Arabidopsis thaliana: one gene and its partner. The protein of the gene in region 2 interacts with the protein of the main gene of each other region in a pairwise test. Each region holds a gene or a part of one and is shown on either strand. Other genes may lie near its edges.

Region 1 (6,618 bases), on a different chromosome or scaffold from region 2:
TACACAACTTAGTGAACAATTAATGATCAATGTATATTGTGTTGATGCTTACGAATGATCCACAAAGTAAGATTGTCTCTAAGAATCTTCATAATCAGTGTACTGTGTCCTTGTATAATTCACTCAGCGATAGTAGCACATTGGCATTGTCCAACATACAAGAACAAAGATCTTGCAACGACAAGATTTACATGAAGCAATAATTAATGAATAAAAGCAGCAACAAGAACAGAATTCCTAGTAACGTCTTTAGGTGACAAAATTTGTACCATCATCAGATATAGCATCCGGTTGCAGGCCGTGAACAATCCCAGTGGCAAATGTCGCAAACCTTATCTTTTTCTTCTTTAAGCTTTTATCATCTGTTTCCCCATTCTCCAAAGTAATAACACATATGGTTCTGGGATCTCAGAAGCTTCTTTGATTCTCATAGCAGCAATCACAAGGAGACTCAAGATGGTGGTAAGTTTGCGTGTGTTTCAAGACATAGAATTTTGACCCAAGAAAGAGAACCCTATAACTGTAAAAAATAGCTTTTAAGACAAAGAAATGAAGGCTTGAGCAGTTCTAGCGACTTTGATAAAGACATCTTCGAGCGTTGTGTCGGCGAGCCCCCATGCAAAGACTGTGAAGTTGGCTTTGGCCTTTTCAACAGCGCGAAACACCTCAGCAATTCGAACCTCTTGCTTTGGGAGCTCAAATTTCTGAGTACCAGCAAGGTGATATATCTTCTTGGCGTTGGGAGAGACAGATTCAACCAATCTCTCTACCTCTTCCTCATGTTTTGAAGATGTTGTCATTGTGAAGACATATGATCCACCGTACCTGCTCTTCAGTTCCTTGGAGTTTCCTATGCATTGCAAGCCTCCGTCGACAAAAATTCCTAATCTGTCGCATAGAAATTCGGCTTCTTCCATGGAATGAGCTGAAAATCTTGTCTTAACGTTAATATTAAGTATAATTTAGGAGGCATACTCAATCACATTCCGTAAGTGGAGAAACTAATATATGTATACTTGTGAGAATTATTGCTGTGTTTTGTTTTGCACGCTTGATCACATTCCATAAATTCTTTCTCGAGGCTGGATCAAGTCCTGTGCTTGGCTCATCTAAATAAACCACCTATTTTAGAGAGACCTTGAGTTTGTTAATAATTATCATGAGCTATTGCTAGACAAAATCACTCGACTAACAAGAATGTATGTACCTTGGGGTTCCCGATAAGCGATATGGCCACGCTAAGCCTCCTTTTCATACCTCCACTATAATTACCAGCAGGTTTGTCGCCAACTCCTCCATCGTAAAGGCTGACACTTTTGAGAGATTCTTCAACAGCCTTGAAATGATCATATATATATATATATATATATATTCTTGTTATTGTCTTCAAGAATAACAACACATATAAAATAAAATAAAAATTAGCCAGGTGGTAAACATATATACTTGTGTAAGATCAGAGCCCTTGATATTTTTAAGTCGACCGTAAAAGAGAAGATGTTCCCTTCCTGTTAGCGTCTCCCAAAGCAAGCTGAAACCAAGAGAATAACATTTTTTCAAAAAGTTGTTCATTATTTGCTTGGTAGTAAAAAAATTCAAAAATCATTTAGAGGATTTACTCGTGCTGCGGGCATACGCCCATGCTCGTGTATACTTTGTTCATATCCTTGCATATGTCCAAACCCTGAACCAAAGCTGTTCCAGATGACGGTTTGAGGAGTCCTGTCATCTAGTGCAGCAAAGAAAACACAGCAGTAGATTACTAAATTTGACACTCTGAAAACAACATTTGTTTGCAAAACTGACCATACTGATGAAGGAAGTTTTGCCGGCACCATTAGGTCCAAGCATGCCGAAGCATTCTCCTGAAGACACACTGAGATACAACCCTCTTACGGCCATTTTTGGCGGGTTACCATCTCTACCTGGATAAACCTTTTTCAAGTTGTCACACAAGATGGCATGCCCTGTGCTACCTTCATTCCTCAATTTTTGAACTGATTCCCTCTGATTATTATTTTCTTTGTTATCATGAGGGCTTTGAAATATGGAAAAATGGAATGGCAAAGAAAAAACTTGACTTCTCCCATACCTCTTGAGTGACATCATGTTTGTCCATATCTATGAATACTCTTTTAGAATCCAACCTTTGCACAGTAGGCCTCCTTGGTAGGGAAGAAGGACTTTTGAAAAGGTTCACCAAGAAAAAGAAAGGATGCTTTCCGGATGTGAAAACCTGATCGATATAGTAGGCTACTATGAGAGCAAGAAACCACTCTACTGACATGATACAGAAAACTTCACCCATTCCGCTATCACTGAGATCTTGCCACTTCATCCCGTTTCCTCGGGATGCATATTGCGAGAACTCATACAACCCGCGGTATAGAGAAAAGCCGGGATACAACTCCATGGCAAGAATCCATTCTTCTGCAAACGTACATACATTGTATAGTAAATAAACATGAGCATCTTTGATTTTTGTTTGTTTGTCAAGTTGTTGACTAAATTACCGGGGAATGACTGAGTTTCAATCATTTTTTGGAAAAGAAAGCTACCCAAGAGCCCGGTTCCGTACACCAGTATGTAAGCAATGACTACAATATTAATTAAGCCATAAAACAGAGAAATCCATTCAAATTTCAACTCTGACATGTTCTTGAGCAGTGGAATATTCAGGAAATGTGGTATACCTGTTACAGTCTTAACCTTTGAGAATATCGAAGAGACTAGAAAAGCGAGGGAGATTTGTAGATTTGAGTAGATGAAATAGAAAACAAACTGGATGCTGTAGTCATTGCGCCGGAAATACTTGAGTCCTATAGCAGACCCGAAGCCCACCAAAGAAATAACATACAACATAGATATGGTGAGAAAATAGGCATAGGAAATCATCCAATATGGACCATCGCCTAGCCCGTGCATTTTCATTATAATTCTTAGACGTTCTTGTTTCTCATACACCAATGATGTCAAGATTACCTGCATTTGCATGCAAGATTTCTTATTTATTAAACGTACAATATAATGGGGATGCAAATTAACTAGCGTGTAAGAGAACTTACGGGGAACAAAAGAAGAACAACCCAAGTGAAGAAAAGTGGCCCAAGCAAGGACGCAATGTCTTGATTCATTTTAGTTTCTTCTTTAGGAACTTCTTTGAGAAACTCAAATAATATCCTTGTCCCAGGGCCTTTTAGAAACTTAAGATAAGCATTTGATATCTGCAGCACGAGATAAATATGAAATCGAAGGCGAAATGCAACCATGTCTGAGAGTACATGATCACCATATATATTTGTTACCAGATTAATAGAGCGGGGAACTCGGACCAGCTTTAAAGCCTGACCAGTTGCAAACTCATCATTGTAGGTTGAGTTATACCATATGGTCACATTGAAATTTTTCCTATCCGTGCTCATGAGATCATATGCTAACGAAACGAAAAAGGCAGACATAATATAAATGGCATAATAACGTAACCACCAAGGATATATAAACTAATGGAAGATTTTAACAAACCTGCAACGATCTCATTTGGCATCCCCGCAGGATTTCCCCTCCAACTACCCTTGAAAAGCTCATCATTGACCTCTACAGAGTTATTTCTCCAGAGACACAACCCTTGAACACACTTCACGGCTGAGATAATTAATAATATAGACACAAACGATCATCAAAATGATTTATAAAAACAACAAAAAAAAAAAAACGCATTTCTTACGTCTAGATCCATGTCAAAACATGTCTCAGAGGATATGCCCAGAATCACTAAAGAACCACTTAGTGATTCACAAAAAACAATAAAAAAATTACCTGTCTGAATTTGTCCGAGCGAGAGTGGCCATGTAGAGTTTGCACTGCACGAAGGTTGGATACTGTAAATAGGAAGATCTGAGGCAATCCCCGGATCTTCATAATTGTCTTCCCCCGCTGCTTCTGTTGAACCCTGAAAGTCATATCATCTCTCGCTCGAGTAAAAGAAGTGGTTGAGAGATAAGAGAATCATGCAATGCAACTGCACTCAGAGATAGATGGAGAGAGATACCAAAACGTTATTGGCTAAAGTAGGCAAGAGGTCGGAGGAATTAACCACAAAAGAAGTGCTGAAGATATTTGCGGATAAAGCTTTTCCAAGGGGCAGTTTATCACCAGTGAAAAGTATCGTTACGGGACAAGAACCTGTTTCTCTGCATAACTTGTCAGGGAGATCTTTGTAGGAAAAGAAATCGGTCTTAACGGAACGGAGTTCATGTTGTGGAATCTGCAACATCGGAGGCAACGATGGAGGGTTTGGGATGGGACAGATACCACCAGGCAAAGTAACGTTGCCTCCACAATTAGACATATCAGAGACACCCTTCATCAAGGCATCAAGCACTTGTTGAATCGCCAGCAGAATTAAACAGAGGAAGAGTGGAACCAGGATGAGTCGAACATTCGTCCATATGTGTTTCCTCTGCCATTTCAGGGTTCAGGCAATTAGATCGTTATAAAAAAAAATATTCTAAGTAACTTGCCGGAAACGGCAATATGAAAACATACCTGGTAGGTTAAGTTCTTCCTAAGTAACGCATTGGCTTGCGTCCAAAAACTTGCTGGGCTAGGATTCACCATTGATGAAGAAAGAAAGAAGCTTAGGTAGTCGCACTTTGTCGTCTCTTTTTTTTTTCCCTTGCCAATTTAAGTAATCGTTTCTTCCTTTAAACTTGCGCTTGTTTTAAGTGCCAAATATATATATGTGGTCTCCAATTAAATGCGAAAAATATGCGAGGTCTCAATTTTACACATTTTTCAAGATGGGGATGAAATGTAGTCAATCGAAAAAATTGGACAAAAGCTGGATAGTTTTTATTTTCTTTCTAATTAATATTGGTCAATCCTTTTTTTGTGGGGTGTGTGGGAACTTTATAGATTAAAATTTTGCTTTTTTTTTTTCTAAGACAAACAATTTACTTCGAAAAAGAAAGATTTTTTTTTAAAAAACTTGATAATGATTTTGCAAGAAGGCTTGCCGCTTCTCTACCAGCAGTTCACGGCGTTGTTCGGGAAGAATCTATTGCTTTCATGGCGGAACAAGAGAGCCACGTGTCTTCAAATCTTCTCTTCATTCTTCTTCATCCTTCTCATCTTTTGTATAGAGGAAGCCATGAAAGCAAGCGACGCATCCTCGAGTGCGTACAAGAATATCACTGATCCTACACTATTGGTATCCCCACCGATTCTTCCTTGTGAGGACAAGTTCTTTGTGAAGCTTCCTTGCTATGACTTTGTGTGGAGTGGGAACAATAGTCGCCGCGTTACTGATATCGTCTCTGCAATTATGGCTAACAATCCAGGGAGACCAATTCCAACCAACAAGGTATTACTTCATTGGTTTCCCTTGGTTAAGTTTCTACGGTTATTTAATGTGTTGGATTCGATGTTGTTCAGGTTCAGTCGTTCAAGGAGCCTGATGAGGTAGATACATGGCTTCTGTCACATCCCTTGCAAGTTCCAGGAGCTTTGCATTTTGTGGAAAGGAATGCTTCAGTAATCAGCTATGGTGTTCAAACAAATTCTTCATCGGAGAGTAAACGTGGTCAGACTGAAGATCCTACGTTTAAGTTCCTTGTTCCTCTTCAAGTCGCTGCAGAGCGTGAAATCGCAAGGTCTTTACTTGGAGATCCAAATTTTGGTTGGGGTTTGGGATTTAAGGAATTTGCAAGACCAGCTATTATAACTGAAACTACCTCTGCACTCTCAGTCATGGGACCAGTGTTCTTTCTTGCTTTCTCCATGTTTGGTTTTGTTCTCCAACTCGGTGCCCTGGTCACCGAGAAAGAGCTAAAACTTCGGCAGGCAATGACAATGATGGGTGTTTATGATTCTGCATATTGGTTGTCATGGCTAACCTGGGAAGGAATCCTTACCCTTGTCTCCTCACTTTTCTTGGTCCTCTTTGGAATGATATTCCGCTTTGATTTTTTCTTGAAGAACAGTTTTGTTCTTGTCTTCCTACTTTTCTTGCTTTTTCAGTTTAATATGGTAAAAATCCTTCATTTTTTCTAATTAGTTTTTTTTTTTAATGTATTATCCCTAGTTTTTAAGTTATCAATTTACTTGTGTTGCTAGATTGGCCTAGCATTTGCGCTATCATCTATCATTAGCAAATCATCTTCGGCAACAACTGTCGGTTTCCTTGTGTTTTTGATTGGTTTTATAACACAGGTATGATAACTTGTCTAGCTAAAAATAGTAATTAATAAACTGGTTCTTGATCAAAATCTTTAATATCTTACTTGGTTACAATTCTAATTGCAGTTTGTATCAGCTACTGGATTCCCTTATTCCAGCTCATATGCAGTTTCTCGCCGGGTGATGTGGTCTCTTTTTCCACCCAACACTTTTTCTGCGGGACTTAAGCTTCTTCTTGATGCAACCTCAACTCCCAAAAGCTCTGGAATCAGTTGGAGTAATAGAGCCGTATGTGAAGGGGGCCAAGCGACTTGCGTAATTTCTATTGTATGCAGACATTCAAAATAAATTTTACTAGTTACGTTGTCTAATAGCATTCTCTAACAAGTATTTTAAATTTTGGTAGAACATTATCTACCAGTGGCTCCTTGGGACATTCCT
Region 2 (6,412 bases):
AAAGCTTACCAGCTTCACAGCACAACCTTGAAGATACTGATGAAACTTGTGAAGATTCCAGATATCATTCAGATCAAGGAAGTGGTGCTCAGGTATAATAAATATTACCATCTGAGTTTTACATAATATATGTTCTGGTCCTTCTGAATTGTGTTTTGTATGAGTTGTGAGATTTTCATCTTGAGATTGCATTGTATATCTCATGTTTATCTCATTTTAGTAGAAGCTAATATCGTGTACATGCTTATGCAGGCTATCAATTACAATGGTCACAATAAGCTGATGGAGAATGGCAAATCAGTGGATGAAAGAGACGAGTTTAAGGAAACTTTTGATGTGACAATGGATTTGATTGGTGGAATTGACAAGCGTCCTGATAGTATTTATAAAGACAAGAGTCGAGATGAGTGTGTTGGTCCTGAGCTTGGACTTTCTCTGAAAAGATCTTGCTCTGTAAGTTTTGAGAACCAAGATGAAAGCAAGCATCAAAAGCTTAGCCTCTCTGATGCGTCGGCCTTCTCAAGGTATGCATGTTTCCTTGCTTGAATAAAGAATGCCTCAAATCTTGTAATTAGTGTTTTTAATCAATAACTCTACTTAACTTGCAGATTTGAGGAAAGCAAGTCAGCAGAAAAAGCCGTCGTTGCTTTAGAGGAGAGTACTTCAGGTGAGCCAAAGACACCAACCGAATCACATGAAAAGTTAAGAAAAGTAACATCTGATCAAGGAAGCGCCACAACGAGCAGCAACCAGGAGAATATCGGATCATCAAGCGTAAGCTTCCGTAACCAAGTTCTTCAGTCCACAGTAACGAATCAGAAGCAAGATTCACCCATACCGGTAGAATCAAATCGCGAGAAAGCAGCTAGCAAGGAAGTAGAAGCTGGTTCTCAAAGCACCAATGAGGGGATTGCTGGACAAAGCAGTAGCACAGAGAAACCAAAGGAAGAAGAAAGTGCGAAACAACGTTGGAGTAGAAGCCAGAGAGAAGCTGCATTGATGAAGTTCCGGTTGAAGAGGAAAGATCGATGCTTTGACAAAAAGGTAAGAGACACACAAGCTTCATCATAAAAACAGCATCTGAAACAAATACAAGATCAAACTGATTCAATGGAGATGTATAAAAATGGATTACAGGTTCGGTACCAGAGCAGGAAGAAGCTAGCAGAACAACGTCCTCGAGTGAAAGGCCAGTTCGTGCGAACCGTGAATTCAGACGCGTCTACAAAATCATGAAGAGCTCTTTCAGTTTTTCCTCTGATTTCTTTTGTTGATTTTATAACAGAAACTTATTTAGCTTTTGCAATCTTTAGTGTGCTTTTTTTTTTTATGTATTTGATTGGCTTCTTCTTCTCAGCTAATATGAGATACTGGGGCAACTTTTGTATATATGTCTGCAAATGATCAGGCTAAGCTAAAACAGTAATTCCAATTTCGTTAAGTTGAGAAATATTTCTTGTTGTGATCATATCCAGGCCGCTTCTCTCTCGATACATACCAACAAGAAACAGATTCTATAAAACTTGATTTATATACCATTGCTATAGTCTATGTATTAAAACTCATCACATTAATTCTCTCACAGTCAGAGAAACAAAAAAAGGAAACAAAAGCTATCGAAAGAAAAATCAACAAAGAAATCTTTTTTTGTGACCGTTAAACTAAGATTTTGTGACCGTTAATTGTGATTATCAGTTTCCTTTTCTTTGCTTATAAATAAATAATTAGTGAGAGTCTCAACGCTTCTTCTAAAACATTCGACAAATCAAAACTCTCTATCTCTCGCTTCTTCTTATTCTTCAACCCTAGTTCTCTTCTCAAGACAATTTTGTCTTCAAAGAGGAGACTACAAAGAGGAGGATATAGCCAAGAGAGGGGAGAGCTTTATGGTGGTGGATGATGTCACGAGAGGGCTACCAAAGACCGACGGGCTCAAATCTGACTTTGGAATGGGCTTTGCTCTATGGGCCCTTTTTGCTACTAAATCCAACAAGGTATTACTTTTTTCATTCTTTTTTTTTTTGTTTTATTTACCTTCAAAATTATTTTTAAGTAAAACTAATTAGTTTCACCATAACATTTATATAACTAAAATGTTTATATATTTTCATTAGTTTAAGTGTAAAATGTTTTTACACCTATATTTTATTATAACTTTAGATTTTTTTTATATAGATAAGTGTTAAATTTTTAAATTTTGTGTAAACTAATTGGATACATCATCCAAACCCCTAGGAGGTGTGCCAGGTTCAATATATGGTTTACACATTATTTAACTTTTTAACACTTGTTTTGCTTTTATTAAAAATGTTTTTAAACTTACATATTTTCATATTACTATTAAATCTTTAAGGTATTTTTATTTGGATAAGTGTTAAATTTTTAAATTTTGTGTAATCTAATTGGATACATCATCCAAACCCCTAAGAGGTGTTCTAGGTTTAATATATAGTTTACACATTATTCAACTTTTTAACACTTGTTTTGCTTTCGTTAAAAATATTTTTAAACTTATATATTTTCATATTACTATTAAATCTTTAGGTTTTTTTTTATTTGGATAAGTGTTAAATTTTTAATTTTTGTGTAAACTAATTGGATACATCATCCAAACCCCTAAAAACTGTTCTAGATTCAATATATGGTTTACACATTATTTAACTTTTTAACACTTGTTTTGCTTTTATTAAAAATGCTTTTAAACTTATATTTTTATACTACTATTAGATCTTTAAGGTTTTAAGGTTTCATTTATAGGTTTAATATATGGTTTACATATTATTTAAGTTTTTAACACTTGTTTTTCATTTATTAAAAAATGTTTTTAGACTTATATTTTTACATTACTATTAAACCTTTAATGTTTTTTTGGGATAATTTTTTTTTTTTAATTTTGTGTAATCTAATTGAATACAAGATTCAAACATGTAGGTGGTGTTTTAGGTTTAATATGGTTTACAAATTATTTAGGTATTGAACACTTGTTTAAAAAAATAAAATTAAATCTTAGTTTAAGTGGTAAATTTTAAACACGTTGAAAACTAATTGCGCCTAAGCATCTCGTACTTAGTTGGTCCGTAAGTTTTGGTGTTCGAAGTTTGGAAAGTTTTCACGTAATTTAACACTTAAACTTTAAAAAATCAGTTCATTTAAAACTTTTTGAAAATTAGTTTAAATGGTAAATTTTAATCACGTTGAAACTAACCGCACATAGATATCTCATATTTAGTTGATCCGTAAGCTTTGGTGTTTGTAATACTTATAATTAGTTTTTGAAAAATGTTGATTGTTTTTACTAAATTTAAGAAATTAATTCACTAAAACTTTTTAAGAACTAGTTTAAGTGATAAAGTTTAAATATGTCAAAACTAACCGTACATAAACATCATATCCTTAGTTAATCTATAAAGTTTGGTATTCGAAGTTTTCACATAACTAAATTTTAAATTATGTTTTGGAATTTTTCTTCTTAGTCAATTCAATAAACCCTCAAAAGTGAAAACCCAATCATTTTGCTAAACCGCTTCTGCGAACCAATATATGAAACCGATTAAAAAAGCCACTAGATTGATTGGTTTAAATTAAAAATTTCACCGGTTTGACAAGATACCCAATCATTATACACAGGTAAAAAAAAAGCAAAAAAAAAAAAGACAGCAAAAATTACGGACCATAAAAAACGGCCACGTGTTCATCATGTTCACCGTCAACGAAAGAGATTCCGATTAAGAGAGATGTCGAAGGAGATAAGAGAGAAAGGGGACCCAAAAAAAGGGTTAGGTGGATCTCTCATGAAATCGGTGGAGCTCCCCCATATCTTTTTTAAATAGCTTTCTTCTTTTGGCCCCTTACCCAGAGATAGATTCTTATATACTACTGAGAATCTTCAATTTCTGCAACTTTTGTATCTCTTCCTGGTGAGCCCTTCTCTTCCTCTCGCCACTTTTTTAGGGTTCGGGTTTTCTTTAAAATCTGACCTTTTTGCTTGCCTCTGTTTTTATTATTCGTGTTAGGGTTTGTTGTTTTTTCACTTTCTGACTCTGCCATCTGGAATTTATCTGATTGGGACACTTTGATTCTGTTTATACAAACAGTAGTTTTATTTACTGAGGGGTCAAACTTGAATCTGTATTTTAGGGTTTTGACTCTTTGTGTTATTATATGGTGTGAAAGCGTTGACACTGTTTGTTTGCTTGACGAGTTCCTCCTTTTTGTAGCAGTAGTGGGAATGTGGTGGGATACATGTCTTTGTCCTTTGATTTGATATTTCTGGATAAATTTGCTTTCTTTTTTGTTGAAACAGATCACCAAATAAGAAAACTCTTGTGGTTCTATTGAATTGGGTTTCCACTATCTTTATTGTAGAGGTAACTTTATTTTGTGTTTGTTGGTATTGAGTTCTGTACATCCATCAGGATTTTCGTTGTTGTCTGAGCTTTCTTCTATTTTTTTTCTTATGCAGATGGAGTCTTCAAGTCCCCACCATAGTCACATTGTTGAGGTTAATGTTGGAAAATCTGATGAAGAGAGAATAATTGTGGCGAGTAAAGTCTGTGGAGAAGCACCATGTGGGTTTTCAGATTCTAAGAATGCTTCCGGGGATGCTCACGAACGCTCTGCTTCTATGCGGAAGCTTTGTATCGCCGTCGTGCTGTGTCTAGTGTTCATGAGTGTTGAAGTTGTTGGTGGGATTAAAGCCAATAGTTTAGCTATATTAACCGATGCAGCTCATTTGCTCTCTGACGTTGCTGCCTTTGCTATCTCCCTCTTCTCATTGTGGGCTGCTGGCTGGGAAGCGACTCCTAGGCAGACTTACGGGTTCTTCAGGATTGAGATTTTGGGTGCTCTTGTATCTATCCAGCTCATTTGGTTGCTCACGGGTATTCTGGTTTATGAAGCGATTATCAGAATTGTTACAGAGACCAGTGAGGTTAATGGATTCCTCATGTTTCTGGTTGCTGCCTTTGGTCTAGTGGTGAACATCATAATGGCTGTTCTGCTAGGGCATGATCATGGTCACAGTCATGGACATGGGCATGGCCACGGCCATGACCATCACAATCATAGCCATGGGGTGACTGTTACCACTCATCACCATCATCACGATCATGAACATGGCCATAGTCATGGTCATGGAGAGGACAAGCATCATGCTCATGGGGATGTTACTGAGCAATTGTTGGACAAATCGAAGACTCAAGTCGCAGCAAAAGAGAAAAGAAAGAGAAACATCAATCTCCAAGGAGCTTATCTGCATGTCCTTGGGGATTCCATCCAGAGTGTTGGTGTTATGATTGGAGGAGCTATCATTTGGTACAATCCGGAATGGAAGATAGTGGATCTGATCTGCACACTTGCCTTTTCGGTTATTGTCCTAGGAACAACCATCAACATGATTCGCAACATTCTAGAAGTATTGATGGAGAGTACACCCAGAGAGATTGACGCCACAAAGCTCGAAAAGGGTTTGCTCGAAATGGAAGAAGTGGTGGCTGTTCATGAGCTCCACATATGGGCTATCACAGTGGGAAAAGTGCTATTGGCTTGCCATGTCAATATCAGACCAGAAGCAGATGCAGATATGGTGCTCAACAAGGTAATTGATTACATCCGCAGGGAGTACAACATTAGTCATGTCACGATACAAATCGAGCGCTAAAAGCTAAGTAAGATCTGATGAAGGGTTTTTGTATCAGCATTCTCATTAACAATAAAATCAATAAAGTTTCTACATTTTTCACTTTCTCGTGTTCCTCTGCTTTGGTTTATATTGGTATAGTTATATACTTATATGTCGTCATCGTTTGGTTGAGCACAAGTAAGCACTATTCCTCTTCAAGGAAGAAACTTTTTGTCCTTGTTTCAAAAAGGGTGAAAGGACACAACTGCTTAGAACAGATACGTCATTCTTAGGTCTGCCTTCATTTAAGATTCATTATCTTCCTAGGAGTCACAGGGACTTGTGATTGTGTTAGAAACAGAATCTGACTGATTGTTAGGGGTTTAATTGATATGTCACAAGTGGACCATGTTTGTCCTGAGAGTAAGTAACCAGAGCTTTAAGTTACATCAGCAAGTACAATGTAAAGATGAAATCTTCGTAAGTCATTCTTAAAAAAACTATGTAAAAGTTGACTCTTTTTTTTACTTGGTAGGCGGTTCTGGTTCTCTTATTACACAGTAGTATGAACGAGATCTCTAGATTGCAGACAACTTAATTCGTGTTTTCTGGCAAGTTTTTGTGTTGGATCTTGTTTTGGCTGTGTTAGACTTACCACGTGAGATAAACAGAGGCCACAATTGAGAGAACATGGATAAGGTTTCTTCTTGTGAGCTTATTAAGATCGAATCTGTGTTCTTGTTTGTCAACAAAGAGGTTAAAATTTCGGATTTGATCGATAACAAAATGTAC

What was found. The genes of interacting proteins can lie anywhere in the genome.
Region 1: the proteins of ZAT (region 2) and ABCA12 interact in a protein complementation assay, tested with the Arabidopsis thaliana proteins (one large-scale study listed by BioGRID).

What each region holds. Positions count from the first base shown.
Region 1 is NC_003076.8:24,791,863-24,798,480, reverse strand, and holds ABCA12 (ABC2 homolog 16), read right to left. Parts: upstream 4,618-6,618; coding exon 4,546-4,617; intron 4,460-4,545; coding exon 4,049-4,459; intron 3,950-4,048; coding exon 3,817-3,949; intron 3,643-3,816; coding exon 3,523-3,642; intron 3,434-3,522; coding exon 3,306-3,433; intron 3,225-3,305; coding exon 3,066-3,224; intron 2,983-3,065; coding exon 2,694-2,982; intron 2,598-2,693; coding exon 2,514-2,597; intron 2,431-2,513; coding exon 2,093-2,430; intron 2,008-2,092; coding exon 1,807-2,007; intron 1,730-1,806; coding exon 1,620-1,729; intron 1,532-1,619; coding exon 1,447-1,531; coding exon of another isoform or gene 1,387-1,446; exon of another isoform or gene 1,337-1,386; coding exon 1,208-1,336; intron 1,123-1,207; coding exon 1,017-1,122; coding exon of another isoform or gene 976-1,016; exon of another isoform or gene 926-975; coding exon 537-925; downstream 1-536. Other genes in the region: ABCA11 (ABC2 homolog 15), read left to right, coding at 4,994-5,362, 5,434-6,027, 6,115-6,210, 6,304-6,504, 6,584-6,618.
Region 2 is NC_003071.7:19,233,666-19,240,077, forward strand, and holds ZAT (zinc transporter), read left to right. Parts: upstream 1-1,708; 5' UTR 1,709-1,994; intron 1,995-3,505; exon of another isoform or gene 3,506-3,627; 5' UTR 3,628-4,367; intron 4,368-4,462; coding exon 4,463-5,659; 3' UTR 5,660-5,912; downstream 5,913-6,412. Other genes in the region: PRR9 (pseudo-response regulator 9), read left to right, coding at 1-92, 253-524, 609-1,044, 1,138-1,236; AT2G46810 (basic helix-loop-helix (bHLH) DNA-binding superfamily protein), read left to right, coding at 6,029-6,100. UniProt on the Arabidopsis thaliana protein: Mediates zinc accumulation in roots and confers resistance to zinc. Involved in sequestration of excess zinc in the cytoplasm into vacuoles to maintain zinc homeostasis. Can also transport cadmium with a low efficiency.